7 linked regions of the Nothobranchius furzeri genome follow. The main gene of each other region encodes a partner of the protein of the gene in region 2 in a complex. Links are inferred from orthologs where the notes say so. Each region holds a gene or a part of one and is shown on either strand. Other genes may lie near its edges.

Region 1 (4,238 bases), about 19 Mb from region 2:
ACAAAAATAAATGAGAAACAAGATGATCACTAAAATAACTCCTGATTCCCAGTATAAAAAGACCAATATACTTATAGCTCATAGTCTATGACCCAAGGGCTATAGACCTTGGTTTAACTCATGTTAGTCTAACCAGTACAGACCCAAATACCAATATCTTGCAAATACTGACAGCAAGAATTATACAGTGGCATTTATAACAAATAAACGCAAATAAATTGATGTTCACAAAATGTTGCATAACATTTATTGAGTCGTGTCAAGGTGCTGTAGGAGAGTGCACTAGCACCGTGTCCTCAGAGAGATTAGTTATTATTTATCAGCGTGAGGAACTTATTTCTACCTTATTTATAAACTATTTATTTACAGGTCCATCAGTTAATGTAATAATTGTCCCAACCAAAGCTGCACCCCCCAACCCGGTCTCACAGCAATCGGGGGCAAGCTGCACGTGTGTTTAGCACGCCGCACGCGCACATTTAGCTGTTTTTAGAGGCTCAGGAGTCCGCAGGTGCGGTGTGTGTGTTACTCACTCTGGTTACTCTAACAGGGAGTCGGCTCTGTGAGCCGTTTCCTTAGCGACTGACACATCACTACATCATTCCCTTTCCTAATGTCCTGAAGAACGGTCCGGAGCGCAGGCGGAGTGTTTAGCTAACCTGCAGGAAATGTCCACGACAGTTATCCAGAAAGTAGCTAAGGGTTTCCAGAGATGTTTCTGAGGTGTTTGCTAGGTACTTTTAAGATTTAAAAAGTCAAGAAGGGGGTCTGAGAAGCTGCTAGAAATAGCATCAAGGAGGAGCGCTTCATTTGCAACTCAGGACAGCGTAAGTGGGAGGAGCAAATAATTGGCTTGTTTTGTTTTAATAATCGTTCAAAACTCAGATCGTAATTGGGATTAAACTTCGATTAATTGAGCAGCCCTAGGTTAAACCACCAAATGGTTCTTGAGCACGGCCATGTCTGCAGCTCACCGCTTCCCCAGCGTATGGGTCGAATGCGGAGAAAAAATATCACTAGTGTGTGACGACTAATGGGACTTTAACTTTTAAACAACTTTTTCTAATGGTAAAAAAATGTGCAGCAAAACCTGAACACACCTGCGCTTTCTGCATCTCGGTCTTCCCGTGGGTTGTTTAGCTTCTCCAGCAGATTGGAGCACATCTTATTCAAAGTCTGGATCTGTTTCTGTTCATGCAGACAAATGAAGGTAAACAAAGCAGAGCCGGATGAAAGCTATCAAATCAGACAACTAACAGGACACAAAATATTATTCCACACAACCTGTGCTGCATCAGGACCTATCCGTGCTGCCTCTGCACTCAGCTGTTTTTCCTGCTCCTCCACCTCTGGATCAGGCTTGGTCCTCAAGTAGTCTGGAACAATCTCATGGCTGAACACCGGCACACGCTTCTCTGTGAGTTTCTGAGAGGCAGTGAGAAGCTATTAGTGAGCTTAACTCAAAAATAAGTAGATGAGACTGAGATGCTGCTACTCACCGCTAAGTCATCATCTCTTTCTTGAGATAAGACCAACGGAATAATAACCTGGCTGCGAAAAGATGGCGTCTTCTCATTCTTGAGCAGTCTGTTGATGGTATTCAGTTGACCAGAGAGGAGTGCAAAGTTATCCAAAACAGATGGCCTGAGTCAAAGCAGAACACAAAGTAGCGTCTGAGAGGAAATTTTAATCAAAAGATCCGCATCTGGACTAAAATATTTTAAACTAAGGTTATTTCACTAAGGACTGTGCAATTAACCTAATTTACAATTTTTATTTCATCCTTAGTTAGCACTAAAAAATGACCAACAGGAACAAAAATAATCATGATTGTTTTCGTGATCAGGCAGCACCATTTCACTAGCCTAGAAATTTAGACCAACCACAGCAATATCAAATGAAAATGACCCACACTATAGCGCCTTTCAGAGTCAGGGGATTCCAAAGTGTATTATTTATCCATTCACACACACATTCACACCCTGGTGGTGATGAGCTATAATGTAGCCACAGCTGCCCTGTGGCACACTGACAGAGCTGAGGCTGCCAAGCACAGGCATCACCGGCCACCCATCTAATGCTGCATTTCTTTACCGATAAGATAGTACGTTTCTATTTTAATAATAATAATAATTTACCAGGTCAAACGCTCATATTCATTTTCTAACTTGGCAATAAAACTCTGCAGAGCGTTTTTAACGTGAGCCACCAGAGAGATCAGCGTGTCCACAGAGGCTTCCAACTGCTTTTCTTCCCTTTGCTGAAAGACACGTGAAGAACGATCATTTTATTTCATTTTGATGACTGACAAACAAACGAGACAACAAATATGTTAGCAGGGAAAAGCTACGTGCTACATAGCTTCGCAAATGAAGGCTAGTTAAATTATCTTTAAAGAGCAAATATATTTGATATACCAGTGAACATAATAAACTACAACAATGTCGCCTACATTTGTTTTACTTTATTTTCCTATTATCAACGATTACCTGCATTGCTGATCTTAGCCGGATGCCTCTGATGAACCGTTCTTATCACTTCCGGTGTTACAAAAATATGAGTCCCCAAAATATGTTCCACCTCAGCTCCGCTTGAACCATGCCACCAAAGTGCTATACAATCAAAATAAAACAGATAAAACCAGCAGGGACAACTAAAAAACAATATACACATAACAGTATAAGAGCATGTAAAAATATCAGCAACAGCTAACCCACAGAGTTAAAAGCCAGATCATAAAAGTAGTATTTTACAAACCTGTACTCATGGGGAGAGAGAGCCTAGTGGTTAAGGGAAGGGCATTCCATAGTCTCGGGCCCGCTACCGAGAACGCCCTATCCCCTCTTGTCCTCAGCTGAACTCTGGAAACCGAGAGCAGAAACTGGTTCACAGAAAGGAGTGCCAGACCAGGAACATGTGGCTGTAATAGGCAGGGGCCAACCCATTAAACAATTAATTCTAAAATTGACAGGGAGCAGTGCAGAGCAGCCAGAATTGGAGTCGTGTGTTCATACTTTCTCTTGCCTTCCAAAAATCTCACTGCAGCATTTTGAACAAGCTGTAAGCGAGCTACAGTACTCTGACTTACACCAAATAAGACAGTTACAGTAGTCAAGGTGTGAGGTGATTAATTAATCAATGTATTCATTCATTCAGTCATTCATTTATCAATGTAATAATTAATTGATTTATCAATTAATTTGTTTAAAAATATATTCATATATATCATATATTATATTTTATATATATATATATATTTATGTTCTTATAAATAATAACAAGAATAAATAATTATTTTGAATATATTTATTTATAGCAATTAATTAATAATTAATCAATAATTAATTAATTTATCTATGCATTCATTCATTCAATGTAATAATTAATTGATTTGTCATTTTATTTATTTATAAATATATTAATTTATATTATATATTCTAATATATATATTTATGTTCTTAGAAATAATAACAAGAATGAATAATTATTTTGAATATATTTATTTATAGCAATTAATTAATAATTAATCCATAATTAATTAATTTATCGATGTATTCATTCATTCAATGTAATAATTAATTGATTTGTCAATTTATTTATTTATAAATATATTAATTTATATTATATATTCTAATATATGTATTTCTGTTATTATAAATATTAACAAGAACAAATTGTTATTTTGAGTATATATATATTTATATTAATTAATTAATAATTAATCATTAATTAATTAATTTATGAATGTATTCATTCATGATGGATATAACTGATTTTGACATCACAGGGTTATTGATGTAACAGTGTAGGTGTTTGTTTAAACAGAAGGTCATCAATTTGATCACATTTTAGAGTGGTGAAGAATGACCTCTTTGATCACCCTCCTGTTATCTGTAACTTCCTGAGACAAGATGAAGGTCCAACAATCTGTTGATTAGGTTACCCCGGTCAGCTGGTTCTAAAGAACTGTGTGTGGGGGTTGATCTGTAACTTCTGGGTGTGCCTTCCTAAATAAAAGAAGCTCTAAGGCTTTGCCTGATTGTGAGTGCAAAATGCCTTTTGTCTGGTGTGTAGTGATTCTCTCACCCTTTGCAAATGCATTCTTGCCTTTGCAAAGTATTTGTTGTTGTTTGTTGTTGGCAGGATTACAATTTACCAAATTATTAATCTAATCCCTCTGTGTGTGCTTTGACTTTCTTTGAGGTAATATGGGAGTAATATAAAAATTACCCAACAAT
Region 2 (3,747 bases):
TCAATGCATTTAGGCATGTAGACAAGGTAAAGACGATCCGCTGCAGTTCAAACCGAGCTTCAGAATGGGGAAAAAAGGTGATTTAAGTGACTTTGAACGTGGCATGGTTGTTGGTGCAGACAGGCTGGTCTGAGTATTTCAGAAACTGCTGATCTTCTGGGATTGTCACACATGACCATCTGTAGGGTTTACAGAGAATAGTCCGAAAAAGGGAAAACATCGAGTGAGCGGCAGTTCTGTGGGTAACAATGCCTTGTTGAGGCCAGAGGAGAATGACCAGACTGGTTGGGGCTGATAGAAAGGCGACGGTAACTCAAATAACCATCGTTATAACCAAGGTATACAGAAGAGCATCTCTGAACATACAACACGTCGAACCTTGAGGCAGATGGGCTACAGCAGCAGAAGACCACACCGGATGCCACATCTGTCAGCTAAGAACAGGAAACTGAGGCTAAAATTCACACAGGTTCACCAAAATTATACAATAGAAGATTGGAAAATGTTGCCTGGTCTGATGATTTCTGCTGCAACATTCGGATGGGAGGGTCAGAATTTGACATCAACAACACAAAAGGATGGATTCATCCTGCCCTGTATCAACAATTCAGGCTGGTGGTAGTGGTGTAATGGTGTGGGGGACATTTTCTTCGTACACTTTGGGCCGCTTAGTACTGATAGATCAATGTTGCAACACCAGCCTACCCGAGTATTGTTGCTGACCATGTCCATCCCTTTATGACCATAGTGTACCCATCTTCTGATGGCTACTTCCAGTAGGATATGCACCATGTCATAAAGCTTGAATCATCTCAGACTGGTTCCTTGAACATGACGATGAGTTCACTGTACTAAAATGGCCTCCACAGTCACTAGATCTCAATCCAATAGAGCACCTTTGGGATGTGGTGGAACAGGAGATTTCCATCATGGAAATGCAGCCGACACACCAACTGTGTGACGCTTTCATGTCAATATGGACCAAAATCTCTGAGGACTGTTTCCAGTACTTTGTTGAATCTATGCCATGAAGGATTATGGCAGCTCTGAAGGCAAAAGGGGGTCCAACCCGGTACTAGCACGGTGTACCCAATAAAGTGGCCAGACGCACACACACACACATATTAAAAAGGGTGACTCACAAGTGGCATTGCCCATCCTCTGAATGAAGGAGAGCGAGAAAGGCATGGGGCGGTTCATCTTGAGGAAAAAACTTGCAGGCAGGTCCACACAATTGGCATTGGTCACACTGGAAAATGAAGGAGTGCTACAAATGCAGAAAAAATATATATACATATGATCATTCCACTTTCTTCCTGCTTGGGATGCTAAAATAAGAAGATAATGTTTTACAAAGTGAATCTGAATGCTTACTATATTTGCTTAATATATTGAGAACTTTGTCAAAATGAGATACATTCTTTTACCCTTTGTTATCAACGGCGTGGGTCCCAGTGATGAGTGGCGCTATCGGGAGCTTGTACACAGCAGAGGTTCCCTCAATCGTCACAGAGACACTGACACCTAGAGTACGTGGTACTGGGGAAAAAAGCGTCCACATACAAAGAAAAGACAAGTCACACAAAAAACCACCTGGGGAGTCATTTGTTATCAAGTCCATTCATCAACTAACCTATGTTTTCATTTAAGTTGAGCTGAGAGCTTGCTTCCACCTCGAATATGTCATAAGGTGAGACGTAACACTGAAGAGTAACCAGATGGCCGCCGCTCCTGGCTGTCAGTAAGCCAACGGTCCCATGAAGGATCGTGTCAACTGCGTTAGCAGCTGTAGCTACGCTAGAATACATGCAAACAAAAACAATCAAAACAAATAACCAGAGAGATTTTTACTGGGAATGCACAATATATTGGTATCAATACCAGCATCGGACAATGTTAGTAATTTTGTAACATATCGGTCCGACAAATAAAACTGGGGCGATGTTACCAAACCAATATTTTTTTGTTTCCATTTGTTTGTCTGTTTCAGAGGGTGAGGGGGGTGATGTGGATTTGTTTAGTCATGTGGCAGTGATTGTAATCATTTCAGAAGCATAACTGTGTGTGCGTGTGTACATAATGATGTAAATTCAGCTTTAATAATTTTCAGTCTATACAAAATCTGCAGATTTTAGAAGCATTAATGTCAGTATATTGGTATCGGTAAATAACGGTTATCGGCAGTAACAGTGGTATTAATATCGGATATCGGTATCGGCCCAACATTTTCATATTGGTGCATCACTCATTTTTACACAAAATCAATAATTCACAAGACAGTTTAGGGTTAAACTCTTGGGCATACTCTTTAACTTTAATGATTACCATCTACTCAAACCAATGAAAAAAACATTCAAAACATTATTAGACAGTAAAGACAGTCTAAACCAAAAATATTATTTTACAGTGACAAAAAAACAAAAACAAAAAAAAACCGTTCTAATAGGGCTGAACGATCTACCGTTTTTGGACCAAAATTGCGATTTCAAACAGCACGATCACGTGACCGTCAAAGCTGCGGTTTTGACTGATCCAGGATCAGTTGTGTAACTTTTTTTTTTTTTACATCTGGGGTTTTCCCCGTGTTATGGTGGCGGCAAAAGCCAGCACGGGGAGGGTGGGGTGGGGTGTACCGTCCAGAGCCGAGCCCAACTCTACAGCTGGCAGAGCTGCATGTTCAGGTTATTTTCCCTGTTTTATGTTTCCACACGCAGCGCTGCTAGAGCCGATAATAACCGTAGGTGAGCCCGGGACACAGAGAGAAAATGTAGCTGAGTAAGGGAGAGAGAGACTCCTCCCACATCAGCAGGTTCAGGCTGATTTCTAAAGCTTGGTTTATGCTTCATCAGCGCGAGTGTGGAGTCGCACACTTTAGTTGACTTGAAAGCTCAACTTCTCTTTTAAAAATGGTTTGAATGTTTCTGATGGCACACGTTAGTTCAAACTAGCTAAGGTGTCAGAATGCGTGCGTCTCTCTCACGGAACTGACGTTTCAGTGAGGAAAAACTACCAGACGGCTTCGAAAAACATGCAGCCAGCCTGCCGCGGTAATGCAGGGAAAACTGTGTGCATTTTTATTTAATACATATAAAAGCTATTTCTACCTACAGTTTTCCTCCATGCAGTTTTGGAGTAGAACATGTTTTTATAAAGCTCCTCTCTAGATAAAAATCACAAGCACAAGTTGCTTCACAAACACATTAAAAATAAAAATAAAAGATAATAATGGGAAAAAATACTAATAGCTTTAACTGTTTTTATTGTATGATTAAATAGTAAATATTAATGTGAATGATTTGTTATACTAGCTTAGAATCTAGACCATCTTTTCACTTAATCTACAGGATGACTTGGCAGGCTAATGTTGGACCTTTGTTTGCAGAAAATCGTGAATTGAACCGAAATCGCAATTTCTTCTAGAAAAATTGCAATTCAATCTTTTCCTAAATTCATTCAGCCCTACGTCCTAATCTACATTAGAAATTACAACATATGCCATTTTCTAAATATGAGTCAAAATGCAATACTGGGAATAACTTGTGAGAGGAAGCAAGTTTTTTCTTTAACTCTCACTGCCAGCCGTTTCCTGATCACTAAAGGCCTTCGCTGCCAGTGTTTCTCGCTGTTTTTACTGTTTTTTAAGAGTCACAGAACGTTGCGCGCTAGGATGATGTCGACGCCAAAACAACCAAAACTAAGCGTAGACTCACCTCTTACATCAGGAAGAATCCGCGTGTTTCGAGTGTT
Region 3 (4,432 bases), on a different chromosome or scaffold from region 2:
AGAGGCAGGCGTTTCTGTCAAGGATATATTCAACCACCTGGAATATGAAACAAATGTAAACATGTTAATAAAACTGGCATTTTTAGTCATATTTACACAAAATGTCTTTTAACTCATTCACTGCCAATTTGCATTTTTTTTTACTGTTTGAGCATCGGAACGAGCCCCCGCGCTGAGAGAACAAACATCTCAGCCCTGAAGCCGATCTTCATCCACATACGTCACAGATCACATGATCAGGAAGCAACACATCCATGTGTTAGGAGATTGTTTTGGGGCGTTCCTGTAAAAAAAAGTGAGGCGCGAACCGGAAAAGCGTCTGCCGATCACAATTCGACAACGGATTATGAAAGAACGGATGACGCTCTAAACACACGGATTCTTCCTGATGTAAGAGGTGAGTCTCCTCTTTGTTTAGGTTGTTTTGGCATCGACATCATGCTAGCGTGAAACGTTCTGTGACTGTTAAAAAACAGTAAAAACGGCGAGAAACGCTGGCAGCGAAGGCCGTTAGCGATCAGGAAACGGCTGGCAGTGAATGAGTTAAACATAACTACTGAAGATGTAAACAGAAAGGAGGGCACCTCTCTAGCAGCAAGAAGCTGCTGGACTATGGCAGAACTGACAGTCGTAGGGATGGATTGTATTTTATCCAGTACAGCTTTCAGCAGATCACGAACCCCCTAAAACACAGATCAAAGCAAAGGTGTCGATTTAGAATTTTTATTTACTGATATTGTCCTTCATAAACTTCAAAAATTAGTATTCAAACCTCTTTTAAAGTACGAAAACCTTCAGCAGAGTTACAAGGCACATCTGCTACTGACCACAACAAATAAACAAGAACAACATTTTCCTGCACAGCATATTCATTAAGAAGGCATTTTTTTTAAACTGCATCTGGCGTTGAGTGTCAGAAACCTTGTAGTCCACGCCACCGATTATCTTGTGGATCAGTTTGAAAGTTAAGGCCCACAGCTGCGTCTTTTCCCACTGAAAACTCTTCGAGGTTATCAAAGCAACACACACCATCCTAAAAACAAAACAGCCTCTCTTAGATGCATGTTTAATACATTTAAAATACACTGATGTGCATGTGCTTAATCAGCTTTAACAACAGTAACATGAAAGTCACCAAATACGAAATAACATAAAAAAAATCTAATTTAGTTTACTGTATTCCTCAGGAAAAAGAACAGACAGTAATTCTGCAGTCACATCAAAAATATCACTGGAGTAATTATGACGTATTTTCGTCTAAATGAAGGCATAAGATGCAATGTGCCCTGGATGAGTGTGAGTATGAACCTTGGTGGCAACAAACTGGTCTCCACTGCCATCGCTAAACAGTCGTACAGGAATGAGATTCTTTTGGGACTGTGCTGACTGTGTATGAAATGCACAATCCATTGCACACACTTCTCATGGGAGTCCTGGTGGAATGACAGAAGTGAAATAAATTTTAATTATTTATTTTTACAAAAACGACAGATTAATTATCAGTACAAATGTAGAACCTGCGGCAGGGTTCCCATGTATTGTCTAAATGCTCCAAGACAGCTGATCAGTTTAGTCCTCTCATCCTCTGGAGTGTCCATGAACATCCTAAAAACAGCATTTATGTTTACTACCCCATTTTAACGGCAAATAAAAGCACAAAAAAACTCTAAGCCGAGCCCTCTTGTCCAGTTTTTATATAATTAATAAGTGTGAAAATGAATTTTGAGCCACCTCACCCTGCAAAAGCCTCCTCTATCAGCTCAGTTTTCTGTAAACAGAGGAAAATATGATTGCTGATTTACTAACACCAACAAAGTTAGAAAAACACATAAATGTCCAATTTAGACAATTAAAATAAAACTAAAACAGTTTTACATTCACATATATTTCCCCATTAATCTTCTGAATTACTGCATTTATGATTTAGATCAATAATTTGAAAGTGTATGCTAAATTCAGTAAGTGTCAGTGAATAGGCTAACACTCTTTGAGATGCTAATAAACGTTAGCTAAATTGTTAACCGGTTTAAGAAATTGCAACTTACCACAACGTCTTCAAAGATGCTCTGCAGCTGCGTCTCCATGGAAAGCGCCATCTCTGCGATATGAAACGTGTATTTTTATCCAAACATCACAGGGAACCTAACACAGAGCTGCCAGCAAGCTAGATGCTAACAGCAACAAATTCCGCCATGAGACATGAGACACGCGACCGACCACGAAAACGTTCCGGGTATGCATCGAAGCACGAGACAAAGATTCCGCCTCACTTAGTCTTTTGGCTCTTATGAATCGTCATAAAAGTCTATTAATTAAATTATTATTGTTAAATTATTATAGTCTATTTCTCTTTAAGTTTTATTAATGAGTGAAACACAAACTTTCAACTGAAGAGATGTAAATATTGGTGACTAGATGTATGTGTCAAGATGTGTTTCTGTTTTCTTTGTCACTTTACGTCTTTCAGACAGATAAGATATTCTAGATCTGAGTGAATAAACTTTGATGTTCTTCCAGGTCTAATATAAATCTTTTGGACACAGCAAAGATGGTTTTATCATCTCTTTAGCTAGTTAATAATTATCCCATTGTACAATTGCATCATGATACACAGTAAGTCACTGAGGAAATAAAAGAAGGGGAAACTAAACAAAAATACAGAAAAGGGAGAGGCACAATGTGAAAACCGTCAAATCACTGCTTTTGCAATCAAGTAAATGTCACAAAAACTGTTTGAAAATGTGAAAATATAAATTCATATTATTAACCATTATAAAAAAGAACATGAAAAACTTAAAGGCAGACGCTAGAGGCGCGTGAAGAACCATTCCACATAACTACCTGCTCAGGTGTATGTGCTCCGACCAGTGAGATCACATTCCTTCCTAAACACGGAAACCAGGCATCATTTTTGTGGCTTTACAGGTTTAATCGTGGCAGTCCGCGTTCCCTCCAACTTAAGACACTTTTATCTTCTTGTGTTTTTAATCTGATTGCGTTTAAACCCGAGGAGAAACAGGAGAGGATCAACGGGTGAGAAACCGCAGATTTCTCATTAAAATGGTCGATCCACACCGACATGTGGACTGAGATCGTCTTGATCGGATTTGTGGTTCTGCGGACCGCAGGTGAGACTGTTAAACTATTAACGCGAGAAAAAAAGGTTTTATGAAAAAAATAATAATCTTGCCTTGCTTTGTTGTTGCTAAACATGCGAGAAGTGTGTTTCATTTAAAGTAGGCTACAATCCAGTCAGTAAAACATCAAATTAATGAACAAAACAGAAAACTTCATGTTTACGCAAATTACCACAGAACTCTGAGATCACAAGGAATTTTAATTAGTCATTCAAAACGCTAGAAAACACCAGAAAGAGGTCGAATATATTACTAAAATGAAATTTATTTAATGCAGCAATTTTCTCTCCGATTCTGTCTCTTTGGTAAATGGTACATGGATTTGTAGCACCTTCTTAGGGTTTAACAACCCCCCAAGGCGCTTCACAATCATCAGTCATCCCCCCCACACACACACACATGGACGTAATTTTCACTTTAGAAGTGGGGGGGACACAAGGGGGGGGGGGTCTTTACAGTATGTTCTAATGGGAAACAGGCTTCAACACAAACGGTTGTTTTCTGCCTGGTCCTAGACCTCAACGAGTGTCAATTTAATATAGCGTAATATTGTTTTTGGATGGTAAAAAGTGCAGGGGTCCAAACTTGACTTTGGAAAAAATGGGGGGGACATGTCCCCCCGCCCCCCCCAAAAATTACGTCCATGCACACACACACACACACCCTGGAGCGCACGGACTGAGGCGAGGTCTGCCCATCTGCCATACAGTGGCGCCACCGGTCCCTCCGACCACCACAGCCGGAAAGACCGGTAGTGTCTTGCCTAAGGACACAAGAGCAGCATTCTCTGGCAACAGCACCTGACCCTTCTCTTCTCTGGTGGGAGCCGGAATCAAACCTGCAACCATCCGATTACTGGGCAACCCACCTAACCTCCTGAGCTATAGTTTATGAACTCGAGAGAATGCTCGAATGCATTGCAACCCAAAAAATAAATTATATATATATATATATTTATATATATTTATATATTTGCACATATATATATATTTGCACAAAGTTTCCAAACATTTCAATTAATTTAGTATAAAATTTCAAGTGAGTAGTTTTGAGTTTTAAGTTGTTTCATGTGACCCAGTCTGGTTTCATGATAATAATGGGTGCTTAGCTGTCAGCCAGTATAGGTTTACACCGTAGTTCCTGTAATGCACGTTTCATAAAGATCGTGTTGTTTCCTTTCAAGTAAACAGAGATGCAATTACTCCACTCCATTCAAGTACATTTTATTGTGATTGGGGCAGCAGTAGCTTAGGAGGAATCGGAAGGTTGTAAGCAAGGCAGCTTCATTTATGTAG
Region 4 (4,240 bases), on a different chromosome or scaffold from region 2:
TTCACTTCAGAAGGGATGTTCAAGTTCAAGGTATGTTTACTTTAAATGTGATTAAATACTATGAATCATGTCAATGAAAAATTGCAGAAAGTGTTAACGGTTATTTTATTTTTAAAGCAAGAATGTGGATTTGAATACATGCTCATGAATTTCAATTCTGGTGTATAACTCTTATGGTATCAGTATGCTACTCTTAAATTTTAGCTTAAGCTTCATATGGTGTGGGGGGGTTGGGGTTATAAGCTTCTGTCTGTACCCATTTTTTGATTGTCTAAGTTGTGCGTTTACTTGTAAAGCCACCATTTAAGAAATCGTGTTACGATCATGTTTATTAGCTCCTGATCCGATCGTTTTCAGCAAAGCATCAAAATAAAAAAAGATAAAAAAACACTTACAAGTTGTCCTTTGTCACTTTCATTTGTTTGGGAAGTACACCGATTTAAAAACGCGTTTACATTGTGAATATATTTAAAGGTTGTTTCCTCCTTCATTATGCAGCTGGACTGATGGATGCACAATCCCGTAACGGATAAGGTAAGCGGCACCTCTGCTGATAGGCTAACTTTTAACGCACAACACCTACCTGTGCTTTGGGCTTTGGGGCTGCAGGAAACATGTTTGTATGCAATTATTTTTTCATATATTAGCGTACCTTTCTGTCAGCTGGTTCCACTTTTTTGTCCGAGTTCACTGTGAACTGGGACTGTAAGTGGCAAACTGGGAATTAATGGAGACCGGTGATTCATTTTGACACCCAAAGGGGAAAGAGAAGGTAGTTTGTTTGAAGGCAGAGAATCATGGAAACATTCTTCCAGCATGTTGAATGCCCAGTATGCACTTACTACACGTGGCTGTTGCTCTGCCTTTTCTGTCCGGTTTAAAATACCACCATGCTGCAGACGTTAGCCTGTTTGCTAACAGCTGCAGCGTGGTGTCTGAATCTCTGCCTGATGTAAGTTGTGTGATGTTAAGGTGCTGTTTTTGCATACGAAACAAAGAATATTGATGTAGAGGAACTTGTTGAAATTAAAACTAAACTGGTAGTATTCCATTGGAAATTCTTTATCTCAGAATGAATTAAAAAAAGTCACGTTTGTTGTTTTAAAAGGTTAAATTTGATTAATTTCTCCCGATCCTTTTAAAATCACGCCACTGGATCGGAGCATCCCTACTTTTCAGGAAAACCACCTTTTATTAAACAACAACAAAGCGTGTAAAAATATCCAGGACAACTGCAATGTCCTTGAAGGGGGGTTCATCATGATGAGACGTACCCCAGTGGCCCCATGTACATCTTAGAAGAAACACCGATGCAGTGTTTGACTGATCGTCACTTTAAAGAACAAGTCAACCCCTACCAGAGTCTAATAACTCCACTTCCACTTCATGTTTGAAAAATGCAACAAATGCTGTTGCCTGGCAGACCGAGAGGACGGAGCCACTAACAAATACACACACACACAGGCTCACGATAGCATTGTGACATCATAATGTACCAGTTTACATCATAGCATACCTCTTAGCCAATAGCGGTTGCAGATTTAAATTCAAATACAGTGCAGAGTTTTTACCTGACAACGGCACAACACTGCCAGTTTTAGGCAGAATATTTAAATTTTAACTAAGATGCACTGAAGTGCCAAATTATTGACGACACGTGTCTGCAGCACGATTAGACACTCGTTTATTTAGTTTATCAGCAAAAAAATAGTTGATTTGGGGGTGACTTGCTCTTTAAAGAGCAAGTCACCCCCAAATCAACTATTTTTTTTCTGATAAACTATATAAATGCGTGTCTAATTGTCCTGCAGACACGTGTAGTCAATAGTTTTGCACTTTAGTGTATTTTAGTTAAAATTTTAATTTTCTGCCTGAAACTGTCAGTGTTGTGCCGTTGTCAGGTAAAAACTCTGCACTGCATTTGAATTTAAATCTGCCACCGCTATTGGCTAAGAGGTATGCTATGATGTAAACTGGTACATTATGATGTCACAATGTCGTGAGTGTGTGTATTTGTTAGTGGCTCCACCCTCTCGGTCTGCTAGGCAACAGCATTTGTTGCATTTTTCAAACATGAAGTGGGAGTGAAGTGCGCTTCTTGTAAGGGGTGACTTGCTCTTTAAAAACAACATGAGTTCCCCGATGAGCCAAAAGTACGACCAGCTTGGTCTGCTTGTGGATCCCGGACCCTTCTTACTTGAGGAACTTGGCATATTCAGGTTCCTTCCAGTAGAGCAGGTACTTCAGGTAGTTGATGAAAGGTCTCTCCCTCAGGTAACCCCTCTGAGCCAGAACTGAAACAGAACCAGATGTTTCATTCTGTGAACGTTAGGAACCCGCTTCTCTCGCTGTGGATCAGTCACTCACAGTTCAGGTAGTTCGGGTTGGCCAGACACTGGACAAACTCCAGTTCGGACTGGAATCGGTTCCGAGCCTGTTCATCTGGACCACATAAACATCCGGCACAACAGAAAACACGTTTAGTTCACCAGACTCCACTTAAAAACCAGACACTTTATTAAAGTGCTTCTATACTTTCCTTAAAACTTGTTCGAACAACTAAAAACACTAAAAGTGGGAAAACAACACGAATTTTAAAACTAACGGCTTCGCATATTAACCAAAAATCAACGTAACTGCTGTAATAATAGTTTAAAACCGGAATGTTTGTCTCCGTTTAAAACCGAAGCTAAAACATACACTACCAACCTGTTTCCATGACAACAGGAGTCATTGACTGGGGTATAAACCTAATATTTTCAAATTTGAACACAAAACTAAGAAAGCACAAATCTTCAGAGCCTCCGTCTTTGTTTAAGTTTAACAAACGCCATCAAACGTAAGCGGACTCTTGTGACGGGAAACCGAGCGTCCTTCACGACATTCACTACAGTTTACGGCTGCTGTAGTGCTTCTTTCTGACCACTAGAGGTAGCCACAGAAATAGAAACAGAATTTATTTGAGGGCAGTTAAAGCACACATGATATAATATAATATAATATAATATAATATAATATAATATAATATAATATAATATAATATTGACCTATTTCTCCTTAGAAAAGCTGGATTAAGCAAACATTTAAAAATAAACTCATCCATTATTTAGGTGAAGAATATAACTATAAATTATAGTTCAAAACTATAGTAATTGCATAACCATTTAATGTCTATCAGACTAACTAGCTAACTAACTAACTAACTAACTAACTAACTAACTAACTAACTAACTGAGGGTCTTAACAGTGTGGTATTCCCCTATAACGGCTGCCCAGCCCTGGGGCCTCATTTATAAAGCTTGCTTACTCACAAACAGGGTCGGAAAACTGTGTAAGCAACTTTACAAGCAAACTTTGGGATTTATGAAAGAAAACTTAGCGGAAGAATGTACACAACTTTAAGATGACTAAGCACCTGGCTTACGCACATTTTGGACATGGAGAGCACCTGCAGTGCTGCTGCTGAGAAGAATAAAATTATGAAATCCTGCAGCATTATCACTTGTACTGCTTCGTTTTCACACAGAACAAGACCCCCCCACACGCACACACGCACACACACACACACACACACACACACACACACACACACACACACACACAGCCTGACGCGCAGAATACGGAATGCAGAATATCAGCAGGGGGACAGATTGAGAAGGAATGTCATGCGTCTGTGACAGTGTGTGTCCTGTTACTGTAACTCGATTTATCATGCACCCTGGCTAGTTGAATAGGGGAGATCTCCATTTGGCTGACTGGTTAGCACATGTGACTTTCACCTGGGAGTCTGGGAATCGAATCCTGATTGGACCATCTTTTTTATATCTGCCACAGATCTCTCTGAAGAATTTACAACATTGACGGCTTCAGCAACGCTGCGTCTCTCCGTGGATTTTCTCTTATTTGTTTTGCAAAAGTACTTCCTTTCATTTCTCCACCTCACCCACAGGTACCTCAACTTCTGCTTCTGTGATATTGTGCTTCCTTGATCTGCCTTGATCTACGGTCGCCATGTCATTGGATGTGATTCAAGTTCTTGTGTGAGCCTTGAGCGCAGCTTTGTTTTATTTATACTCTACAGAGAAAACTTGCTCACAAAGATAAGTTTATTTTCACTCTACATTGTAAAGTATGAAAATAAAGTTTACACAACCATCTCGCGGGCCGGATCCACACACATTATATAATATAATATTTTAATGACCTCTTCTGTTGCTGCCACTTCAGCTGCAGTTGCCTG
Region 5 (4,219 bases), on a different chromosome or scaffold from region 2:
CTCTGTCTTGTTTCGTGACGTGTGATGTGGATTCTGAAACTAGAAAAGAGACTTCAAGGCTTCAGGTGGACAATACGATAATATCAGTGGACGTAGCTCCATCTGGGGTTTTCGTTTGTACGGCAGGTCAGATTTTGGACAATAGCACGACTGTTACCAGCACTTACACATCAGCATCAGCAGTTTTAAACACATCAGCAGGCGAGTGAATGCCGCGACCCTCTTTTTTAAATTCTAAATTAAAATTAAACAATTAAAATAAACATATTGTTGACTCTACAGGTGAATCTGAGGAGACTGAAAACACGTTTCCAGCCATTTATGGAGTATCAATCACTGCGGCATGTCTAGCTGTAACAGCACTCGTGATTTTTTGCTTCAAATCAAGACTGCAAGCAGGTAGGATTTGCAGCTGTAGGTTTTCGTTGAGACTTCCTGTTTTTTGTAATTTACATATAGATTTTAATCATGCACAGTGGTTTGCCCTTCAACCTGATTCTCTTTCTGTCTCTCCTCAGCATTTCCGTTTCACAGCTCTTGTTGCGGATTTGGCAGCAAGGTATGATGAGTATTATAAAGTGTATGTATGAAATACCACATGTGATGTTTTGCTAAGGTAATTAATGTCTTGTTTTATGCTGCAGGAAGAAGAAGAAAACCCGACTGTTATTTATTCTTCTCTTGTCATCAAGGCACCTCCCGCAAGAAGACATAGATATGCATGTGAAACTGACTGCATTTATGGTGAAATAAAAGTGTAGTAGAAACACACCTGGCAGAGATGAAAGCTAAACTGAAGAGTTAGTGATTGTAGTTTCCACACTGTCCTCTGATTTAGTGATCAATTTGTCAACAACTTCTAATATGATTGTATGTATAATTATTACTCCCACAGGGTTGTGGAGGTAAAATCTAAAATTTCTCAATTTTTGCCCAAAATAAATAAATAAATAAATAAATAAATAAATAAATAAATTTCTACATTTAAAATATATTTTATTTTATACATACTCTTCCATAATATGTTACGATATATTGCTGAAATGTGGATACATTTCTCATTTTGCAGATTTTGAATTTATGAATAAAATAATACAATTTAAATTTTAAATGTTTAAAAATTTCCAAAGACAATGAAGTGAATTTATTTTTAAGAAACTGTTCCGATATTTTAAAATGACGTTCTGAGAAAGAGTTATAAGCGATTAAAATATGATCTGATGAAGACAACTGAATAAAATCATAATAGAGAAACAGATTAGTTGTGACTGGACTGATTATTTTTTCATGATTATTTATAAACTGTTGGATCATTAATTTACTTTCTGCAGTTGCAGAATGAACTTCATTTCTATTTTTATTTCAGGAAATGTGGAATATTAATGCGAAGATCCTGTCATTTCGTTTGTGCACCGTAGTTTTTAGACATAGATGTTGTAAAACCGTCATTCTCCAGTAGGTGGCAGCAGAGTGTTATCATAGCGGTTGTAACGCGCTTCAAAAACAAGCCAAAGAAAGATGCTCTCGTATTTTTGATGCATATTGAATGTTTTGTCTAATCTCCACATGCGTGGGTGGTTTTATTTTGACTACGTTTCCTCCATTTTTTACTTGAACAGCTGGAGTGACTCATTTGTATGTTGCTGACGTAAAAACTTGGCGAACTAGCGGTTAGCTAACGCTACATGCTAACCGGAAGAGGCTTACCGGGTCTTTAACAAACCATTACGCCAACATTTATTCTGGTTTACCTTAACAGGTACGGAGTAGCATTCTGCTTTATGGCTATTTTTCATGTAAAAGTAGACTTTTTGGGGGAGTCGCAAACTGTATGAATGATTTAGCTTAGCAACATAATTTAGCCTTTTAACTATTAGCTAGCATAACGAACAAGTTAACATCATAAGTAGCTATTTACATTAAGCTCTGCATATTATCAAGTAACAGTGAGCCAGCATGCAAAGTGTTGATTAAAATAAGTTTAGAACCACCTCGACCTTTTTCTTAAAGTGAAATATTTAGCTATTTATTAGCATGTTGAGCTAAGCTTACTGACTGCTTTTCTTTTTAAATTGGGACAAAAGCAGATACCTGAGAAAAGATGGAGGCCCCTCCTGTTACCGTGATGCCTGTGACCGGTGGGACGATTAATATGATGGAATATTTGTTACAAGGTGAGTTAGTGAGATACAAAATAAAAATAGTCTCCCTGAGTGCTTTTTAAGTACACAAGAAAAATTACTTTTCAGACATTTCAACGTTTTATACAATTGTCAGTTTTGCATTAGTGGCCATATGTAGTATTTTATATCAGCTATTATGTCAACAATGAAAGATGGATGACTGTTAATGGGGAAAAATCTAAATTGAATTGAATAGGCTATTAATCCCAGGGGGGACATTCACTCTAGAGCAGAACATACGCTTAGAGAAAAGGAAGAAGAAAAAAATAAAAACAAAAGTGCAGGTACATACACAACGGCAGTAAGCTATTATTGTAACCTTCAAACCACTAAGAGCAACAAAATAAAAATACTAAATTGGGTTTCCAAAGATGTACAGCATAAGGAACACATATTTGTAGGTGATAACTAAGATTTAAAAGATCTTCTACCATAAACTGAAACTATCAGTTATTAGTCATTTTATTTTTACTAATTTGTAAAATCTCAGAATCTTGTTTCTGCTTCCATGAAAGCATAACTGTGGAAAAAGTCCTCAAAAGCTGGATTAACCTCTAATCTGACAGTTTAAGGAAACGTGTTACATGAAAAACATATTCTGATGAAGACTGATTATAGAATACATGTTTTATACCTTTACTGTTTCAGATAAAGTTTGAGTGACATAAGATGTTTGTTTTATTTTTGAATTATTCATGTTAGAAAATGATTGCTGTTATTTTTCCTTCAATGAAGCATTATTTTCTTTGTTTTTGTTGAATCCAGGCAGCGTGTTAGATCTGGCTCTGGAAAGCCTGCTGCATCGCCTCCGTGGTCTGTGTGACAACATGGAACCCGAGACTTTCACAGACCATGAGCTGGTGTACCTTCTGAAAGGCCAGCAGGGAAATCCTTTTATCCTGCGTGCCCGGCGCGCCCTCTCCCACCCAAATGCTCCATGGCATCTGCGTTATCTCGGCCAACCTGAAGTGGGAGACAAAAACCGCTACGCCTTGGTACGCAACTGCGTTGACGTGGCTGCCTCTCACAGCCTTCCAGAGTTCCTGAACGAGATGGGCTTCCGCATGGACCACGAATTTGTCACCAGCGGCCACATATTTCGCAAAGGAGCTATGAAAGTGGTGGTTTGCAACGTTTCTCGGGTCCAGCTACCAGGAAACACGGAAAACACAGAGCGAATGTCAAATTCGCACCTAGTTGAACTGAGCGTGTTGGCCCCTGCTGGCCAGGACACGGTTTCAGAGGACATGCGCAGCTTTGCAGAGCAACTGAAACCTCTGATTCACCTGGAGAAGATTGACCCAAGCAAGCAGAGACATTAGAAGTAGAATTCAGACTAACATGGACTCATTTAATGTAGCTACTTTTGTTTAATTGTTTGTTTTTTATCTTAATAGAAAATAAAATACTGCTCAACTTTTATTCGAGAGTTTTATTTGTTTTTGAATTTGTTTCACTATCTAAAAAATGCTTCATTTATTCCTCATGTTGATGAAAATTATAGTGTATTAACAGCTAAAGCTATTTATTCAAAGAACCTTTTAATGCTTTACTGAATAAGAGGTGGTTTTTGCTGTGGACGTTTTTCTTTCCGTCCACTAGGGGTCTCTCTTTCTCTTGTCTTTGCCTTGATTGGAACAAATTGAATGCTACCTCTCATCATCTACTGGAGCTGTGGTTGCCATGGAAATAATTAGCTGCGAGATCTGCACATCTTTTACCTCATTCTAATTAGCTTTCTCAATTGCTTAATGATACATAGACCTGTGAAAGCCTTCCTTTCTTTCCCTCAACAAAAGCATTGATTTTCGCTCCCTGCCCCTCTCGTTTCCACTGTTAACCCATTAGTGCCCCTTTTTCATGGGAAATTGAACTGGAACCATTACACATGAAAGCTCCACAGCTGCCTTGGGTCCTTAACTGTTCACGATGAAATTGGAAGAAGAAAAAAAAGAGGGCTGTATACTAGTGTGTCAACATTATGGCCAATTGCCTGCAGAGATGGAAGTAACTAATGCACATCCTGTCAGTTATGA
Region 6 (3,394 bases), on a different chromosome or scaffold from region 2:
TGCAGTTAGTTAAAGCAGTAGAAAGCCAAACTGGAGTGACCGTTTCCCATGACACCATACAACGCACACTGCAGAGGAATGGCATACATGGGTATTGTCTACGAAGGAAGCCTCTCCTAAAGCTCATGCACAAAAAGCACACCTAGGATTTGCTAGGGCCCGTGCTGAAAGAGATGAAGACTACTGGCACTCTGTACTCTGGAGTGATGAGACAAAGATCACAGTTTGTGGAAGTAATGGTTTCAAAACTATGGCGTTGTAAAGGTGAGGATTTCAAAGAGAAATGCATGGTGCCTACAGTGAAACGTGGTGGTGGTGGCAGTGTCCTTATGTGGGGCTGCATGAGTGCTGCTGGTGTTGGGGAGCTGCATTTCATTGATGGCATCATGAACTCAACGATGTCCTGTTCTATACTGAAGGAGAAGATGCAGCCATCACTCCATGCACTTGATCATTGGAGGGGATAATGCAAAGAAGGATTCTCCAGAGAATCAAGAAAATGATGGACAACCCTGAGCATTCTCTTCACAAGACTGTCCGACAACGGAAGAGTGTCTTCAGTCAGAGGCTTCTTCAGTTTGGCTGCAACACTGACCGCTACTGGAGATCCTTCCTGCCAACAGCCATTGTAATATACAATAACTCTTTGATGACTTGATTATTATTATTATTCTGAGCTACTACAGCAATCAATTTCCCTCTGGTATTAATAAAGTATCTTTGAATTGAATTGAATTTGAATCATTGTGCACGTTTCCACCACGACAATGATCCAAAACGCATCTAAAGCTACTGTTGCATTTCTGAAGAAGAACAGGGTGAAGGTGATTGAATGGCCAAGTATGTCTCCTGATCTGAACACCTGTGGGGAATTCTGAAGGTTGAGCATCACTCTCCATCCAGCATCCAGATTATAAAACACGTTATTCTTGAAGAATGGAAAAAGATAGATGTTAATGTTTATGTTTATTTATTTAGCAGACGCTTTTATCCAAAGCGACTTACAATTTATAACCTATAGGGCATGTTGTGATCTGTGGGGGAAACCGGAGTACCCGGAGGAAACCCGAGCATGCATGGGGAGAACACGCAACTCCACGCAGAAATAGCGACAGTGCAACAACTGTGCCACCATGCAGCCCGATGTTGCAATATGTCACCATCTTGTTCATGCCATGCCTAGAAGACTTGATGTAGTAGTTTTTGTTGAGGGGTGTATTCCTTTTTGCTAAAACCAATTTTAGCAAAACTGAAGATTTTGTGATCCAAGTCATATTAATAGCCTTAATTTCATGTTATGGAGTTAAGCAAGTGTTTAATAAAACCCAGCCTTGTTAAAATTCTGGAAAATTTTTTTAGTTCATTGAGCTACTGATTAAATTTGTACTCTTCAAAGGGGGTGTACTCATTAATACTGAGAACTGGATGAAAAAACAAAACTGCTGTGCGACTTATGTCACAATGCTATTCCGAGTCAACATTTTAAATCTTTTTAATGCCCAGCTAGAAACTTAATTAGTGTTTAAAATTTTCTCACCTTCTTTTTTTTCTTGTCTTTCTTCTTTTTCTTGCGGTCAGGATCATCGTCCCTCTTTTTCTTCTTTTTCTTGGGATCAGAGTCTGACGGAGTTTCTAAAATCAGAACAGACGTGTCAGTGTGGTGAAAAACACGTAGCACTTGTTTCAGCTGACCTCACTAACACGCCACCAGACCTTGTGGGAGGGGGTCCTGTGGTCGATTGTGCTTGTGTTTGTGTTTGCTCTTCTTCTTTGGGGGCTGTATGTGCATCAGTCTGTACTGTTCTGGAAGCTGGAAAAAAAAAAAAACACTACATGTTACATAACGGGGATAAGATGATCATTTATTATCAGGCATAATCAGTGTTGTGGTACCGGTCCTGTATGTAGTCTGAATCCTGTGAGCAGAGCACCAGTCAGCGGGCTGAACGAGTTCCCACAAACGGGAGGCTTATCTATCAGAGAGCGCAGAGAGCTGCCGTCCTGAGTGCCCGGACAGTCGATCATACCTGCAACAAAAGAGACACTATAAAAGTGGAAATAAAGAGCGTGGCTGAAAGGGATCCGTGTAATTTACAGGCCATAGTGAGGAGTCCAGGTGAGATTAAAGAGGCTAAAAAAAAACAACAAATCAGAAACAATGAAAGTTAAACTTTTGGTTTTAGAGATACAGCCTCAGCCCTCAAAGTCTAATTCATTAGAGCGCCCAGAAGTCCCAGCACCTGTCAGAATGCAGGTTTAGATTAACTATAGCTTAAGCCACTGGAGTCAAACCCTGGCCCTCGAGAACTGACCTGCCAGTGCATATGTTGCCAATACTACAGATCCCAGAATGCTTTGCTGCATTATCAGCAGCATCCATGCTACCAGTCTCGAGGAGGGTACGGCTGCGGACCTGGAGACCACAGATTCGGTCTCAGACAAACAAAAAAATGACTGCTTAGTTAGCACCCAGCAATTTGCCAACTTTGAAGCCCAAATATCAAGATTTCAACAGCTCAGTAATCTATTTGTGGCCGACGTGAAAAGCGCAGAAAGCAACCTCCAAATGGAGCCAAATGAGCTCCGGTGTAGTAAAACGCTCAAATTTGACTCTGTGGCTTCTGCTCAGTTTCCATCTGATGTGTTTTATTTCAAAGTTAACTGCCCGTGTGTTGTTAATTTTAAACTTTGGTTATTCCAGAGTAACTATTAATGCAAGACTATGGTTTGTTTCCATATAAAACATTCAACAACACAAATCAGAAGATAAAGAAAATTTTAAGCATTTGCATCCATAAACATTTTCCCATGACTTTGTTCTAGTTTCTCCAGTTTGGCCCAGAGTGAATTTCAGTTTGACACCCCTGGCTTAAACGATGACAAATACAGGTAGAAAATCCTGAAAAAGTATAGTATTTTGTCACTTGTTTAAAAAAATTCATCTGACCTATTATGTAAATTAGGGATGCACGGATAACTTTTTTACCACAAGGAAGGGAAACCATAGAAAGTCATTGCTAAAGAAGCATGTCAGTTCCACTTTACTAAGTCCATCAGGGACCGGACAAGTTGCAAGTGTGATATTCTGGCCACAGGGGGCGGTGGGGGTCTGAGTGACATTTTTTTCACCCTAAGGGTCATTTTAGTACATACTGGCTAAAGAAAACGATGTAAAAATATGAAAAAGTTGCAGAGTAAGCCTCAAGTCCAGGTGTGGTGTTGATATCTAATGATTTGGGCTCCATGTCCTCTCCTGGTGTTGGTCCATTGTGTTTTCTGAAGTCCACAGTAAACTCAGAAATTTACCAGGTACAGCTGAGGAAATTAATCAATAATCGATGCATCAAGATGCAGACATTAATTACAAATCATTGAAAAGGCCCACCATGATAAA
Region 7 (4,295 bases), on a different chromosome or scaffold from region 2:
GTCTGGACACGTAGTTACACATGTTGACTAATCGCCTGCAGCTTTCACCAAAGCAAAAGGGGAGGGGGGAGGGGAGGGCTCCCAATGACGAGACGGCTCCTGTCGTTCACTTCAAAGAGCCGGCTCTTAGAACCAGTTCGTTCGCGACCGACACATCACTATTAAATAGGTTTTATTTGAATTTTTATTGGAAAAATAGTGTATGTATAAAGTATCACATGTACAGACGACTGACAGACGTAAACCTATCAAATGTCACCTTTCAATTCAGCACACCCCAACCCTAAACTTGTCTACATTGCATTACATTTTAAAAGAAGGCAGAATGACTTAATTAAATTTTACTCAGGTCTCTGATGAATCAAGCTCTTTGATATGCCGACTAGCTAAAGGATCTACGCATCTACCGCTAATGCATAATCAGCAAACCACAGCGTCAGAATTAGCAACAAATTCTTAACAAAAGCACTTTGTGTTTATGTGGAACCATATTAGATCATCGTTTTTGTGACGGCACTAAACTCCTGCTGCGGTTTCAAATAGATTTATTGAGCCCAGTGAACACAAAGATCTGTATAAGATTTAAACGCTAAGGAAATATTTACAAGTACATTTAGTTGAATTTGAAAAGAACATGTACAAATAATAGTATTTTTATCCCACACAAAGTATTTCATGCTGAGTGAAAAGTAAAAACATGCATGTGCTGTAAATCTTCATGCTATCTCATCTATTATACTACACATGGCAGCATCCTTGTCCCATGTTTTGTCTGTTTTTGAACTTGGGACATTCTTGTCCTGATCACCTGCAGCCATGCAGCTGGCGCCCGTGTCCTCTACATCCATTGGTTCGGTTTTCAGAATGGGGGCCTGTCCAGAAGAACAACCAAAACTAGATCCAGCAGACACACTCTTGGTCCCAACACACACACCGTCTGTTACATCCGACTGGGGTAAGTCATCAGGTAGAGATGCAAGGCACCCCTGGATCATCTCCACCACCCTGTCCAGATGCTTCTGGAACCTCTCTGCCGTCTCCAGTCTCTGCCTCTTCTGGACCTCCATCATGACTCTCAGTGTTTCTCTGGCTTGGTGTGGCCTGTACTCGTTTATAAGATGATGCATGTGAACAAACAAAAGCTTCATGTCCTCCAGTTTCTCTTCACGCTTTATGCTGCCAGGACTCTTGATGAGAATGTCCAACAAGTCCAGAAAGTTCACAAGAATTGACATGTTTAGTTTTTTGAGCTGCCGCTTGTGGTCAAACTGCATTGGATGGAGCCTCTCGATGCCTTGGCTCTCCAGAGGTCGAATGATAAGGTCATCACACTGGAACTGGTTGCCAAACATCATGTAGCTGTCTCTAATGGGTGGAGGCGGCTTTGGGACCAGACCCTTGCGGATATTTTCATCTGTGTACTCTTTAATGTACTGCATAGGTGGTGGAGGCAGGGCGCTGACCTGCTGTGGTTCACCCATGATGCAGACCTGAAAGTATAGAAAAAGAAAAAACATTTATTAGGAATTCCAGGCACTATTAAAGATCAAGAAATGCCTAAATGAACTTTTTTTTAGCTGATAACCTGTACAGATGAGTGTCTAATAGTGCTGTAGACATGTGCAATTATCAGTGTGGCAGTTTAGTGCAACTTATTCTAAATTTAATATTTCAGCCCAAAACCATAGTTATATCTCCATCTTCAGATTAAAACTCGGCTCCACATTCATGTAGAACCAGCTGTGGCTGATGGCTAAGCTGAAAAACATGACATTATCAGCTGATTACTACTACTACACAATACATTACAGCTACCTAATGAGCACAATAACTTATTAGGTAACAGCATATCGTGTAGAGCTCTGCATCAAAAGATATACACTATTACACATAACAGATTGTAGTAAAAGCCTGAATGCCCCTCATTTGTACAAATAAATACTGTTAAATGTAAACTGCAGTAACAAATAAAATGTTTTTATTAAGAATTTATTATTGTTTGATTTACTTTTTGAGAGTTTCGATAAAAGATTCTCAAAATCCTTGTACATAAAATATATTTAAAAATTCGACAAACGTCATTCTCCCAATAACTGCAGGATTCTATCATTAGGCTGGAGGGGCAAATTCAATAATCAGCATACACTTCCAGTAAAGTGTTAGTCTAAAATCTAAACTAATGTGTTGCAGCACCAGTCCAGCACAAAACATTCAAAGCAAAACTAGATTCTGATGGGTTTTTAAGTTGCACCTACTGCTGTTGTTGGTAGGAAAAGTAGATATGAACTTAAAATGACACGTAAATTATAGTATACACACTACTGCTCATTTTGGCGTAAAACATTTGCAATCTAGTTTGAAGTAAAATTAGGCTTTATTAGCCATAGTTAATAATTATAGGTTTAATATCTGGCTGAAACGTTGTTCTTAGGTATTTAAGTAGTCAAATTCAACTCCTAGCACGCACCTAACCATTGAACCTTTGTCTTCTGTGTTACCTTTATTTTGTTACGGACTCAATGTGTTATTGACAAACACTACAAGCAGAACTACGTTAGCGTCACCGCTGCATTTTGTACAGAAACCTAGCTAACTATAGCCACCGCTAATCCCGGTAGTTAATTGGGCACGTCAAAAATGAAGCGAACTACATAAAAGGTAAATGAGAAGGGAGTAAATGTATTCATACCCACCTTAAGAACAATCCTTTAGAAACACAACATATACTTCTAATAATAACGTTAATCAAATATCGTTGGAAAATTAGATCAGGGCTAACATAGCTTCTTCGATAAATGCAGAAAAGACCAGTCGTTTCTGTTTGATTTCTATTGGCTGAACTGTCCTCGTGATTGTTTTCCTAACGCTGATTGGGGTGCGGTCACAGAAAGAGCTCAACGCTGATTGGTAGAAATATCCGGAAGCACGGAAAAATTTGTTTTTCTTTTACTTTGTTCTTCAGAGGATCGATGGAAAAAGTACCGTTTGATGCCCAAACTGAACTGATTTTATACATGAAAAAGAAAAGTTACTAAAATATTCAGATAACTGTTGAATATTTTTGAATGAAAATACTAATTTTAAAGACATAAAAACAATAACCTGTATATTAATTCCTTCGGGTTCTCATTTTACAAACTATGTCAGTTATTGTTTGTTCTTTATGTTTATTTAGCAGACGCTTTTATCCAAAGCGACTTACAATTTATGACCTATAGGGCATGTTGTGATCTGTTTGTCCTCTTTCAGAATCTGCAGAAATCTATGAATTTTATCCTAAAATAATAATAATAAAAAAAGATGATTGTGATTTCTTATGTATGTGAAACACCTGCCACAAACAGAACGGTGTAAAAGGGTTGATATCGATATTAAAAAGAAATTGGGTTGATAATGACAAACTGAATTCTATTATTCTCTTGTGAAAAGATAGTGAGCAGCATTTTAATTCCTAATGTTCCGAACCGGTTTGCTCACGTTTATTTATTTACTCCTTGTCACCTAGATGAGTTTTGTAAATTTTTATGTGGCTTAAGTAGTTTTTACTCTTTACTTTAATCAAGAATTTAATGGACTGCATTCACTGTAAACAGTCTAAACTTCTCTGAAAAATAACAATATTTTGACGTGTAACCCCTAAATGCAAAGACACATTTAGAGAAAGAGAGATATTTCTTTATCTTAACTTTTTTCAGTGATGTTTTGTGTTTTGTTACTCATTTTATCTTCCCAATTGTTTAAAAAAGTACTACCAAAACCTGGATTTCTGCATTCACAGTCCTGCTTTGGGCTTAACTTGTTAATTCTCTATAACATTAGTGAAAGTACATGTGCAGGGTAGACATCTACAGTGTTTGTGCATCAAACAGTGTGTATTTCTGCTTGCGCAAATCATTTGTTGCCACAAGGATGTGGTTTACTGCCTGCCGCAGCTTCACGCCGGAAGCTCCACAGCATCTACGAAGTTTATCATCCACAACTTTGCCTTTTCTTCTTCTGACTCTGCGAGGCTCTGCTTGTGACAAAACCATTCGCAGACGCTCGCTGCGTTCTTCTTGACAATGTTCCCCAGGGTGATTTTGAGGGGAACCATGATCAAAAAATCCCAGCAAAAGAAAAGAACATCACCAAATAACTACAAAGAGAGGTTTTTTGTGTTGGACACTCAGGATCTGAAGTATTCGGAGTGCCGTCCGGGGGTAAGTCCACACGATTTTGTATTGAAATGTGGTTTTCTTAAAGTCACATTTTCTATGGCGTTGAATCTATGTGACACAGAGCGTGTTAATGTGTGC

The links.
Region 1: med1 (region 2) and med8 share a complex: the UniProt entries of both Homo sapiens proteins name them as parts of the mediator complex. The link is inferred for Nothobranchius furzeri from reciprocal best matches to the Homo sapiens genes MED1 and MED8.
Region 3: med1 (region 2) and med23 share a complex: the UniProt entries of both Homo sapiens proteins name them as parts of the mediator complex. The link is inferred for Nothobranchius furzeri from reciprocal best matches to the Homo sapiens genes MED1 and MED23.
Region 4: med1 (region 2) and med31 share a complex: the UniProt entries of both Homo sapiens proteins name them as parts of the mediator complex. The link is inferred for Nothobranchius furzeri from reciprocal best matches to the Homo sapiens genes MED1 and MED31.
Region 5: med1 (region 2) and med18 share a complex: the UniProt entries of both Homo sapiens proteins name them as parts of the mediator complex. The link is inferred for Nothobranchius furzeri from reciprocal best matches to the Homo sapiens genes MED1 and MED18.
Region 6: med1 (region 2) and med19a share a complex: the UniProt entries of both Homo sapiens proteins name them as parts of the mediator complex. The link is inferred for Nothobranchius furzeri from reciprocal best matches to the Homo sapiens genes MED1 and MED19.
Region 7: med1 (region 2) and med7 share a complex: the UniProt entries of both Homo sapiens proteins name them as parts of the mediator complex. The link is inferred for Nothobranchius furzeri from reciprocal best matches to the Homo sapiens genes MED1 and MED7.

Annotation. Positions count from the first base shown.
Region 1 is NC_091756.1:57,827,706-57,831,943, reverse strand, and holds the start of med8 (mediator of RNA polymerase II transcription subunit 8), read right to left. Parts: upstream 2,813-4,238; 5' UTR 2,758-2,812; intron 2,613-2,757; 5' UTR 2,496-2,612; coding exon 2,490-2,495; intron 2,261-2,489; coding exon 2,139-2,260; intron 1,645-2,138; coding exon 1,500-1,644; intron 1,426-1,499; coding exon 1,285-1,425; intron 1,189-1,284; coding exon 1,101-1,188; intron 1-1,100. UniProt on the Homo sapiens protein: Component of the Mediator complex, a coactivator involved in the regulated transcription of nearly all RNA polymerase II-dependent genes.
Region 2 is NC_091756.1:39,214,231-39,217,977, forward strand, and holds part of med1 (mediator of RNA polymerase II transcription subunit 1), read right to left. Parts: intron 1,798-3,747; coding exon 1,634-1,797; intron 1,540-1,633; coding exon 1,428-1,539; intron 1,268-1,427; coding exon 1,143-1,267; intron 1-1,142. UniProt on the Homo sapiens protein: Component of the Mediator complex, a coactivator involved in the regulated transcription of nearly all RNA polymerase II-dependent genes.
Region 3 is NC_091742.1:26,117,020-26,121,451, reverse strand, and holds the start of med23 (mediator of RNA polymerase II transcription subunit 23), read right to left. Parts: upstream 2,925-4,432; 5' UTR 2,842-2,924; intron 2,233-2,841; exon of another isoform or gene 2,099-2,232; 5' UTR 2,097-2,098; coding exon 2,046-2,096; intron 1,769-2,045; coding exon 1,737-1,768; intron 1,606-1,736; coding exon 1,518-1,605; intron 1,434-1,517; coding exon 1,309-1,433; intron 1,034-1,308; coding exon 922-1,033; intron 684-921; coding exon 585-683; intron 38-584; coding exon 1-37. Other genes in the region: il20ra (interleukin-20 receptor subunit alpha), read left to right, coding at 3,080-3,128. UniProt on the Homo sapiens protein: Required for transcriptional activation subsequent to the assembly of the pre-initiation complex. Component of the Mediator complex, a coactivator involved in the regulated transcription of nearly all RNA polymerase II-dependent genes.
Region 4 is NC_091750.1:26,556,582-26,560,821, forward strand, and holds the start of med31 (mediator of RNA polymerase II transcription subunit 31), read right to left. Parts: upstream 2,885-4,240; 5' UTR 2,735-2,884; coding exon 2,710-2,734; intron 2,443-2,709; coding exon 2,368-2,442; intron 2,295-2,367; coding exon 2,198-2,294; intron 1-2,197. UniProt on the Homo sapiens protein: Component of the Mediator complex, a coactivator involved in the regulated transcription of nearly all RNA polymerase II-dependent genes.
Region 5 is NC_091745.1:72,040,806-72,045,024, forward strand, and holds med18 (mediator of RNA polymerase II transcription subunit 18), read left to right. Parts: upstream 1-1,474; 5' UTR 1,475-1,759; intron 1,760-2,084; 5' UTR 2,085-2,101; coding exon 2,102-2,174; intron 2,175-2,948; coding exon 2,949-3,505; 3' UTR 3,506-3,605; downstream 3,606-4,219. UniProt on the Homo sapiens protein: Component of the Mediator complex, a coactivator involved in the regulated transcription of nearly all RNA polymerase II-dependent genes.
Region 6 is NC_091741.1:91,561,667-91,565,060, reverse strand, and holds part of med19a (mediator of RNA polymerase II transcription subunit 19-A), read right to left. Parts: intron 2,028-3,394; coding exon 1,894-2,027; intron 1,811-1,893; coding exon 1,714-1,810; intron 1,633-1,713; coding exon 1,538-1,632; intron 1-1,537. UniProt on the Homo sapiens protein: Component of the Mediator complex, a coactivator involved in the regulated transcription of nearly all RNA polymerase II-dependent genes.
Region 7 is NC_091742.1:50,786,257-50,790,551, reverse strand, and holds med7 (mediator of RNA polymerase II transcription subunit 7), read right to left. Parts: upstream 2,836-4,295; 5' UTR 2,694-2,835; intron 1,491-2,693; 5' UTR 1,482-1,490; coding exon 717-1,481; 3' UTR 167-716; downstream 1-166. Other genes in the region: itk (tyrosine-protein kinase ITK/TSK), read left to right, coding at 4,062-4,199. UniProt on the Homo sapiens protein: Component of the Mediator complex, a coactivator involved in the regulated transcription of nearly all RNA polymerase II-dependent genes.